Linked DNA regions of Ovis aries. The protein of the gene in region 1 interacts with the protein of each later gene in a biochemical or structural test. Links are inferred from orthologs where the notes say so. Each region holds a gene or a part of one and is shown on either strand. Other genes may lie near its edges.

The links.
Region 2: of the proteins of RIGI (region 1) and RNF135, one has a biochemical effect on the other in vitro, tested with the Homo sapiens proteins (6 studies listed by BioGRID, with this or other methods). The link is inferred for Ovis aries from reciprocal best matches to the Homo sapiens genes RIGI and RNF135.
Region 3: of the proteins of RIGI (region 1) and RNF125, one has a biochemical effect on the other in vitro, tested with the Homo sapiens proteins (3 studies listed by BioGRID and IntAct, with this or other methods). The link is inferred for Ovis aries from reciprocal best matches to the Homo sapiens genes RIGI and RNF125.

What each region holds. Positions count from the first base shown.
Region 1 is NC_056055.1:101,639,294-101,642,946, reverse strand, and holds part of RIGI (antiviral innate immune response receptor RIG-I), read left to right. Parts: intron 1-3,250; coding exon 3,251-3,408; intron 3,409-3,653.
Region 2 is NC_056064.1:17,747,281-17,750,933, reverse strand, and holds part of RNF135 (E3 ubiquitin-protein ligase RNF135), read left to right. Parts: intron 1-1,683; coding exon 1,684-1,827; intron 1,828-3,653.
Region 3 is NC_056076.1:25,485,959-25,489,611, forward strand, and holds part of RNF125 (E3 ubiquitin-protein ligase RNF125), read right to left. Parts: intron 538-3,653; coding exon 430-537; intron 1-429. UniProt on the Homo sapiens protein: E3 ubiquitin-protein ligase that mediates ubiquitination and subsequent proteasomal degradation of target proteins, such as RIGI, MAVS/IPS1, IFIH1/MDA5, JAK1 and p53/TP53.

The DNA.
Region 1 (3,653 bases):
AGTTGCCAAGTTCTCTTCTCCTTTTTAAAATCAAGTAATTAATTCATCGGGTATTGTGCCAGGTACTATGCTAGGTAAAGGAAGCACCAAGATTAAAGACAGTCTTGCCTTCAAGGAACTCAGCATCAAACAAAGATGCGAATAGTCACCCTGTAGCAAGGCAGGGTTACACACTGCTATTACGGGCGCACAGGGGAGCTTAGGCCAGGACTGGGCTGTAGGGAGGACTTCCTAGGGGAGGTAATGTGTGCGACAGATCTTGAAGTCAGCCAGGTTAAGAAGGAGAGGTGATCAAGTGAGGTCAAGAAGACAGCAGTTGCAGAGGGAAGAGAGAGCACAGTGAATTTTAGAATCTGCAGGATTTCATGCTAATTCTAACAGGTGACTAGTAGAAAGGAGAGTGGGGCTGGGGGAGAGGCTGGGGGCAGACAGTGAAGGTGTCCTGCAGGCCATGCTGAGTTTGACTTTTATCCTAGAAGTGGGACTTCCCTGGTGGTCCAGTGGCTTAGACTCCACACTCAAAATGCCAGGGGCCTGGCTTCCATCTGCAGTCAGGGAACTAGATTCCCACTTGCCACAACCCAGAGCCAGCGCTGCCAAATAAATAAATAAATATCCTAAAAGCAAATGGGAAGCAACGCACGATTTTGAACTGATAAGTTCTGTGATGAGAAATGAAGAGAGCCAAACTGAGGCAGTGGAGATGGGCTAGTGAAGGAAGCAGGCTTGTGCAAACAGAAGTGTTCAGATTTAAGAGCTCCCTGGGTTTGGGTGGGAGTGAGCGAGTGCGGGGCTTCTCTCTTGGCACCTGTGTGTGGACTGGCAGGTGTTACTCGTTCTAGAGCAAGGAGCAACTTGGGCAGGCACAAGTGAGCTTAGAGTTTCGGAGATGTTGAATTCTCGTCTCCAAGGTAACTTCTGCGTCTGAGCTTCTCTCACGCTCAGTCTCTCTGCTTTCTTTCACAGCTTGATTTCTAACAACTTATTCTAACAGCTGCTTTGCCTGCCTCTACCCTCTTTCCCGTCGAACCCCCATTACGCAGCTCGTCTTCCTGGGATTACCCACTTTATCTCGTCAGTATCCTGCTGGCGATCCTGGTTCTCCAGGCAGAGCTCTCACGGCGCCGCTCACCTGGCCGGGCGCGCCCCGCTCGCACAATCTGGTTCTGCTTCCCTCGCCAACTTTCCGCTCCTTGCCTATTAGCAGTTCCCTCGAACAAATTCATTCCCTTGTTTGTTCATTCAGTGCTGGGCTAAGTGCTCGGTGGTGGGAACACAGCGTGGACCCTCAGACACAAGCCCTGCCCTCACGGCATTTTCGGTTTGGCTACCGGCAGTGCCAAAGGCGGGTGAGTGACAGTGTCGAGGCAACACGGGGTGGGGGAGTGGTGGGGTGAGCGGTATTTCAGGCAAGGAGACCGGCGCCGGGAGAGAGTCTGGGGGCTTTCACTAGTCCTGAGAACTGTAGGAAGGAAAGTTAAGCAGGTAAAGGCCAGAACACAGAGCCCCCTGTGAGCCAGACTAGGAGTTTGGCTGGAGAAACCCACTTAACACTTGTGTTTTATTTTTTAAAGCATTTATTATTGTTATTTTTAACATTTATTTATTTGGCTGTGCTGGGTCTTAGTTGCGGCATGTGGGATCTAGTTCCCTGATCAGGGATCAAACCCAGGCCCCCTTTGTTGGGTGTGCAGAGCCTTAGCTACTGGACCACCAAGGAAGTCCCTCAAGACTTAAAAACAATACATGTATTTATTTATTTGGCTGCACGGAGTCTTAGTTATAACACGCAGGACTTTTGTTACGTCATTTGGGACCCTGGTTCTCTGACCAGGAGTCAAACCTGCACCCTCTGCTTTGAAGGGTGAAGTCTTAACCCCTGGACTGCCAGGGAAGTCCCTCCCTAAAGGCTTTTAATCAGTGGATTAGCATTGTCTCTCATCTGCAATTTTGGAAATTCCCTCCAGTTGTTGAATGGAGACTGGACTGGAGGGAAGGGGGAAGGAGGTAAGGAGATGAGGTAGGAGGAGATCATGGTATTATCCAGAAGCCTTAGGACATGGTCAGGGTTGTGGAGGTGGAGAAGGGTGGGCAGACATGGCTTTCTGCCTTCTTCTCGTCTCTTATACCCTCCCGCCATCTCTTCACCTGTTCAGATACTGTCAGCTGCTTATTGCCAGATGGCCTAGCTCATTTTTGCACCTACCTAAGTTCAGTAAATACCTGTTGATTACTCTAGTTTATTGATAGTCCCCTTGTTTGTAGATTGGGTTACTGCTACTTGTCTGGGTAACCACCTTTGTTTCTCTGATTAAAGATGAATGGGTGAGGGGATTTCCCTGGTGGTCCAGTGGTTAAGAATCTCCCTTCTAATACAGGGGACGAAGATTCAAACCCTGGTCTGGGAGCTAAAATCCCATATGCCGTGGGACAGCTAACTCCGTGTACCCCAGCTAGAGAAGCCCCAATGCAGCCACTAGAAAAGCCCCTGTGTGCTGCAGCAAAGACCCAGCACAGCCAAAAAAAAAAGGCAGGGGGGCAGTTAGGTTTTATTCCATGGCTGTTGTTTGGCCTCTGGGCTGTTTGGTTATCAGCTCACAACTGGTAGAGCTTGGGTATGGGACACATCTGGGTTTGAATTCCTGTGCTCCCTCTATCGGAGAAGGCAATGGCACCCCACTGCAGTACTCTTGCCTGGAAAATCCCATGGACGGAGGAGCCTGGTGGGCTGCAGTCCATGAGGTTGCTAAGAGTCAGACATGACTGAGCGACTTCACTTTCACTTTTCACTTTCATGCACTGGAGAAGGAAATGGCAACCCACTCCAGTGTTCTTGCCTGGAGTATCCCAGGGACGAGGGAGCTTGGTGGGCTGCCGTCTATGGGGTTGCACAGAGTAGGACACGACTGAAGCGACTTAGCAGCAGCAGCAGCAGCAGCAGCTCCCTCTGTATACTAGCTGTGTGACTTGGCGTGATGATTTCACTTCTCCGAGCTTCCATTTCCTCATCTATAAAGTCTATCTATGTCATGGCGTTGTGAAATGAAATTATAAATACAAGACATGTTGATTCTTGGTATGTAGTCGGTATTCAGTAAGCAGTTGTGTTTGTACGTAGACACACTGCTGAAAACTGTCTCAAGAGAAATACTCTAAGGAATCAAAATTAGAAAGCGAGACATGCTTAGAGCCTTAATGACTAGCCAGATGACACAATGGAAAACAGGTTTTTTTTTTTTTTCTTTTTCAGAAAACTTATCTCGCATTCAAAATAGGAATTTTGGGACACAGAAATATGAACAGTGGATTATCGCAGTTCAGAAAGCGTGCATGGTGTTTCAGATGCCAGACAAAGATGAAGAAAGCAGGATTTGTAAAGCCCTGTTTTTGTACACGTCACATTTGCGGGTATGTGGCTTCTTTGGAAAAGGATATTTCCATCGTAACACCTACTGGGAGCTGTGCTATGGCAGCTGAGAGAGCATCATTTAGGAACTTTCCCGGTGGTTCTTATGAAGCAAATGCCAAAAGCTATCCTATTCAACATCTGTCTTTGCTCTCTGAAACCTGGCCCTAGAGGCCGAGGGACAGAAACAAGGGCCGTGGGTCTGTGCTGTACCTCAGTATCCCCAGATTTGACCTCAGGGGTGGGG
Region 2 (3,653 bases), on another chromosome or scaffold:
TTTGTGTATCCCCTCACCCCCTGCCAACCCCTGGCAATGACTGATTTTTTTTGCTATCTCTTTGGCTTTTCCAGAATGTCATACCATTGGCATCATACAGTGTCTAGCTTTCTCAGACTAGTTTCTTTCACTAAACATAATTAAGATTTGTGGCTTGACTGCTCATTTCTTTTTATTGCCAAATAATATTCCATTGCATACATGTCCCACAGTTTGTCTATTCACCTTTTAATGGACATATTGGTTGCTTCCTCCCCTCCCCCCCTTATAATTAAAGCTGTTTTCTTCTTTTTGGTTATAAACACAGCATTGGAAGTTCCCTGGTGGTCTAGTGGTTAGGATTCAGCGCTTTCACTGCTGTGGCCCAGGTTTTATCCCTGGTCAGGGGACTGAGACCCTACAAGCTGAGCAGTGTGGCCACAGATGAATAAATTCAGCATTATCCCTCAGGTCCTTAAAACTATTTGTTAGTATAGTGACTGAATATACTTTGCATTGGCTTTCAGATTACAATTGTCTGTGGATGGTAGGATATTGGATGATTTAAAATGTTTCTTCTTTCAACTCTGTGCATTTTCTACATTCATCATGATAAATGTGCAGTTTTATGGATAGAAAAAGCACCAACACTTATTTATAAAAGTTTTTAATTTGCTCAGGTGTCTAGATAAGGGCTCCACTCCAGAATTCCAGCTGCCAGAATGTTTAGGAGTGAGACCTGGATATACAAGAGCAAACAATGTTACCAGTGGTCAGCCACCTTCCTCTGAAAATTAGTCTGCATATGGCTTCTGAAACACATGCTATTTTGAGGGACATAAGTGCTTCTTAGAGATGAAAAATTAGTTCCAGTTTTTGAGGTTCCAGCATAATTTAAAAAGTGAGAGCTGTCCCCCCAAAGTTATTAAAAACTGTGGTTTATTTAGAGTAGAATAATGAAAATCTTGTATTTCTGTGGTTCTATGTAGGACCACTTTGGGAGGTAGTTCAGATTTCTCCAATGACTTCTGGGCCCCGCCTGCCTCTGATGATGGTCACCAGGTCTTGAGGTTGTTGCCAGAATATGTTGGTGGCCAAACTTCCTCCCACTCTCAGCCAGGCAGCTGCGCAGATGAAGCTCTGGAAGCGGAGTTGTTTAGCATTCTCATCTGAATGTTTCTTTAAATGTGAAGGACGCCGATAAACAAAAAGAGCTTGCATCTGTACAGCAATCTAGAATCTCCACGATCCTTTCATAGTAGATGCTTTTCACTGTTAAAAGGAACTAGGGGTGGTCGCTTTAATTTTTGAAAGGAGTGGTGAAGACGCAGGATGAGTCAGAGGTGAGAGTGGAGCTAAAGCCTGAGCTAAATGCCTTCCACTCAACGTACCAGCTGCCACCTGCACCAAATCTCCAGGCTCCCACCCTGCTTCCCCTCTGACTTCCCCAGTTCAAAATAACCCCAGTCTTTCCTTCATGCCTCACTCCCACCCCCCTGGCCCCATCTGATGGATGAACGCTGCTTCCCTGTGAACAACCAGCAGGGGGAGGTGGGAATGCGGAAAGTCCGAGGACTTTACCTCCTTTTCCTCTAGACATTTTTGTCACTTCCTTGCCCACTTCCTTTATCCAGTGTTTACGGCTCCCTCTGTCTAGAGCTGGTTCCCGGGTCCAGCTTTGTGTTCTGCTTTGCTCTTTTAAAGGTGGAGGCACCGAGGAGCGTCACAGAAGTTGACCGGGAGCTGGCAAAGCTGGTGGAACGGCTTATAGATATTGTCAGGAACCTTCAGAGTCCGAGACACCTCCCAGAATCTGAACCAGATAAAGAAGTGAGCATTCTGGCTATGGTAGGCTCATCTGGGAGAAGAAAGGATGTGCCAGGGGGTGGGGCTAGGGACAACTCCCTGGAACCGCTGGGAAGCAAGATGAATATGTTTGCCCTTGAAGGATGCGCTAAATCCCAATCTTTCACCTTGCTCTTCACTACCCAACACAGATAATTGGGAGTTTGGAATGTTTGAGGTGAGGTGTGAAGGCATCCATCCTTACCACTCCACATAACCAGCTTACTCCCCGAAGATCACCAGTGACCTCTATACAAATCCTCCAGACCTTCCAGCTTTTATTCTCATTGGCCTTTCAGCCACCTATGACATAGTTGACCACAGCATCATTCTTTTTTTTTTTTTAATTTTTAAAAAATTCTGTATGATTTTTAAAAGTTACACTTCGTTTACAGTTGTTACAAAATATCGGCTATGTTCCCAGTGTTGCACAACACATCCTCGTAGCCTGTCTCACACCCAGTAGTTTTTACCGCTCACTCCCCTGCCCCCGTGTTGCCTCTCTTCCCCTCTCTCCCCACTGATTTGTTTGGTTTTTAATATTTATATATATTTAATATATATATTTACAAAACACTGTGTAATAGCTGAATATATTTAAAAGAAAATCTGTTTTTGAAACCTGTTCTGCTATGACCGGAGATAAAACATCTTTTTCTTCCCCCTTTTTTCTTTTTAAAAAAAATTTTATTTTTGGAGTACAGTTGCTTCACAGAGTTGTATTTGTTTCTGCTGTGCAACACAGTGAATCAGCTACGCGAATATATATACTCCCCCCTCTCTCTTGAGCCTCCCTCCCATCCTCCTCCCATCCCACCCCTCTAGGTCATTAGAGAGCACCCAGCTGAGCTCCCGGTGATATACAGCAACCTCCCACTAGCTATTGCTAACCACAGATTTGTTTTCTGTATATCAGTGAGTCTGCTGCTTCTCACAACTTCATTCTTGAAGCTTTCTTTCCCCTTAGCTCTGAGATGCGAGTCTTCCAGTTTTCCCCCATGTCTCTCTGGCTGCTCTTTTCCGTCTGTTTGGCAGGTTCACTCTCCTCTGCTAAGCAGTGAAATGCTGGGATTCCTCAAGGCTGAGTTGTAGGTCACTGTCTCTTTCCCTCAGATGGCCCTGTCCACACCTGTGGCTTTCATTACCCACCCTGGGTACAAACGTAGCTTCAGTCTGGACCCTCCTCTGATCTGGTGTCTTCCTTCTCGTCTTTTCCTCTTGGCATCTCAGAGGCACATCACACTTAATCCATCCTGAGCTGTCTCTCCTCTAGGTACCCCGTCTGAGCAGCTGACCCTGTAACCATTCCAAATGCCCAAGTCAGAAAGCTGAGGATCATGTTGCCCTCCTCCATCACCTGCCTAAACATCTCTTGAACCTATTTACTATTCTGGAGCTTCTTAAAAACATCTCTAATCCAATCCTATGACCATCTCTGATCTGGATTTCTACCAAAGCCTCCTAATCACTCCATTCTGTTCCCTCTATAGAGTCACACTGCTTCTCATCACGGGGCCCATACCATGAAATGTTCTTCTTTTCCCCTGTCATGTAGGTCATGCCTGCTCATCCTTCAGACCTCGACTAGATTATCACTTCCTTGAAGAAGCCTTCACTGATTTCCTTGAACAAGTCAAGTTCCCTTACTAGAGGCTCTCATGTGTGTGATTCCATGTCCCTTTCTTTTGCAGCAGTTGTCAGACTTGTGACTTGATAGTGATTGACACCATAATTTATTGTCTTTCATTCCTGTTCCTAAGCACTGGACTCTAAGCTCTAGGGGGGCAGAGACCTTGATGACTTTTGTTCTTTTGTTCATTTTTGTTTTC
Region 3 (3,653 bases), on another chromosome or scaffold:
GTATTCTTGCCTGGAGAATCCCAGGGATGGGGGAGCCTGGTGGGCTGCGGTCTATGGGGTCGCACAGAGTCGGACACGACTGAAGCGACTTAGCAGCAGCAGCAGCAGTGGGAGGCATTAAAGTAGAAATTAAAATAACTGGAAAGTGAAATCTGGGTCTTTATACAATGGCTAATTATTTACATCACAAAAAAAATGATTTTGTCTAAAGCAGGTAACTACTCTTAAAGTAGTTATATAAAATATATATATTTATAAAACACAATTTATAAAACACTGTTTTTATGTTTCTTCTTTAATACTAATACTCAACACTGCAGCTACATATGCATTTTTTCTCTATAATCTTATAGTAAGACTTCTTATATTAAGAAAGGTAAGCTTAATTCAGCATAAAAATACAATGTAGAAGTAAGAAAATATACTTACTAAGAAATCATCATAAAACAAAGTGTGACTGACTTGCAAATGTCTTATTAAGCTGCCATTGAAGCTGCTTCGATTCTCATTAGGTACCAAACGGCAAAGCGGACAGAACTGGAAATAAACAATATCCAGAGTTCAAGAAAGAATTTAAATAATCATTAGTGTCAGCGATAAAAAATTAAATAGCCATTCAACAAAGTTAATTTTATGAATCTATTGGCCATACCTTGGTATTATGTTTTAGAATTATATAAATATTAAAGCAATATAAACAAATAAAATTGCACTTCTTTCTTCATACACATTTCTTGTATATAAAGAGTATAACTATTTGTTTCATACTTACCACTTTATTATTTAAATAATATTACAGTCAGGAGGTGTGCCATAATTTAATTAGTTACCTACCTCTTGCAATACTAAAGTTTTCTTAGGTATGTGCATATTTTGCTATTACAAATTACATTATCTACATTGCTATTGTTATTACAAATAATATTATCTATAGTTATATATCAAATTACATTTTTGAGGGGATTATTTTCTTAGGATAAATGACTATAAATGGAGATTAGAAGGTCAAAGTTATGAACATTCATGGTTCATAATATACACTATATATGATACATGATTATAGTTTTATATTACCACTAGCAATATAGATTATAATATACCAGCATCAGATATTAGTATTTACACATATTTTCCTAATTTAATAGCCATGAATGGCCATCTGCAAAACCTTCTCATTTTGAAATATTTATAAGCTCAAAAGAAATGGCAAAATAATGCAGACATACATGTCACCATCACCCAGCTTCCCCAAAATGTTACTTCTTACATAACTATGGCATATTATCAAAACCAGGAAATTGGCAATTAACTAGACAACATCTGACTTAGATTTCACCAGCTTTTGCATGAATTCATTTTCTGGGGTGGGTATATATATTCTATGAAATTTTATCATACATATAGTCATATAACTACCAACACAATCAAGAAACAGAACTGCTCTCTCACTACAAGAAACTCCCTTGCACTATCCCTTAACTTCTCTCCTGAACCCTGGCAACCATGGATTTGTTCTCTAGATCGGCCTTTTTTTTCTCTCTTTGCCTTACTGCCTGGCATGCAGGATCTTAGCTCTCTACCAGCATCCGGAGCGCACCCCTTGCAGTAAGCTGAGTCTTAACCACTTGACCCCTAGAGAAGTCCCACAAATGGATACCACTCTTATCACCTAAGCAGATACTGCCAGTACAGCATAGCAAGTGCTGTAATCAAGATCTGAACAGACAACTGTTCAAGACTGATAAGGGAATCATTACTTTTTTTTCTGAGAAGTCAGGAAAGGATTCAGCCAAGTTGCATGCAGCTGGTGTGAATCTTGAAGAACGAGTCAGCCATAGCAGAGGAAAAGCACCACAGGCAGGGAAAGCAAAGTGGAAAAAGGCAGGAAACCCTAAAACGACCAGGCCTGCTTAGGCAATGGGAAAATGCTCAGTGAAGCTGGAGACAGGGCATGTGGGCAGCCGGGGGAGGAGAGTTTGGAACAGTAAGTTGGAACCAGTACTAATCGACATACACTCTTCTGAGCAGCTCATGTGATTTCTCTTCTCCCCGTATCGAGTCAGAGGAACAGAGATGACTAAGCCTTGGTCCCATGATTAAGGAGCTTTGAGCCCAGTGGACGGGAAATCTACAGAAAACCTGGAATTTCAAGCAAAGTAGTTTTTCTTTTCAGTCTGATGTTAAGAGAACTAGTGGAGGCATCAGACTTCAGGTGTATAGAGAATTTAGTTGTGTGACTGAAGAGACTTTCACCAGAAAGACACTACAAAACAATGGATGACAGTCTATACTACTTTAAAAATTTCTTCTGTTTCTTGAATTGGGGAATTTGACATAAGGAAGGAGAGAGTAAGAATAGGAAAGGGAAAGAAATGGTAAAGTGAGAGACTGATGATCATGACCTAAGTCCTTAAGTGTTCACCTACACTCTCCCTAAGGTTGTTGTTGTTTAGTTGCTTGATTGTGTCTGACTCTTTGCAACCCCATGGACTGCAGCACTCCAGGCTTCTCTGTCCTTCACCATCACTTGGAGCTTGCTCAAACTCACGTCCATTGAGTCGGTGATGCCATCCAACCATCTCATCTTCTGTCATCTCCTTCTCCTCCTGCCTTCAATCTTTCTCGGCATCAGGGTCTTTTCTAATGAGTCAGCTCTTCACATCAGGTAATCCAAGTATTGGAGCTCCAGCTTCAGCATCAGTCCTTCCAATGAATATTCAGAACTGCTTTTCTTTAGGATTGACTGGTTTGATCTCCTTGCAGTCCAAGGGACTCTCAAGAGTCTTCTCCAACACCACAGTTCAAAAGCATCAGTCCTTCGGTGCTCAGCCTTCTTTATGGACCAACTCTCACATCCATACATGACTGCTGGAAAAACCATAGCTCTGACTGTACAGACATTTGTTGGCAAAGTAATCTCTCTGCTTTTTAATATGCTGTCTAGATTTGTCATAGCTTGTCTTCCAAGGAGCAAACGTCTCTTAATTTGATGGCTGCAGTCACCATCTGCAGTGATTTTGGAGCCCAAGAAAATAGAGTCTATCACTGTTTCCACTGTTTCCCCATCTATTTACCATGAAGTGATGGGACCAGATGCCATGATCTTCATTTTCTGAATGTTGAGTTTTAAGTCAACATTTTCACTCTCTTCTTTCACTTTCATCAAGAAGCTCTTTAGTTCCTCTTCACTTTCTGCCATAAGGGTGGTCATATGCATATCTGAGATTATTGGTATTTCCTCTGGCAATTTTGATTCCAGCTTGTGCTTCATCCAGTCTCACATTTCACAAACTGTACTCTGCATAGAAGTTAAATAGGCAGGGTGACAATACACAGCCTTGACGTACTCCTTTCCCAATTTGTAACCAGTCCATTGTTCCATGTCCAGTTCTAACTGTTGCTTCTTTACCTGCAAACAGATTTCTCAGGAGGCAGGTAAGGTGGTCTAGTATTCCCATCTCTTGAAGAATTTTCCAGTTTGTTGTGATCCACACAGTCAAAGGCATAGCCAATGAAGCAGAGATAGATATTTTTCTGGGACTCTCTTGCTTTTTCTATGATCCAACGGATGTTGGCAATTTGATCTCTGGTTCCTCTGCCTTTTCTAAATCCAGCCTGAACATTTGGAAGTTCTTGGTAAACGTACTGTTGAA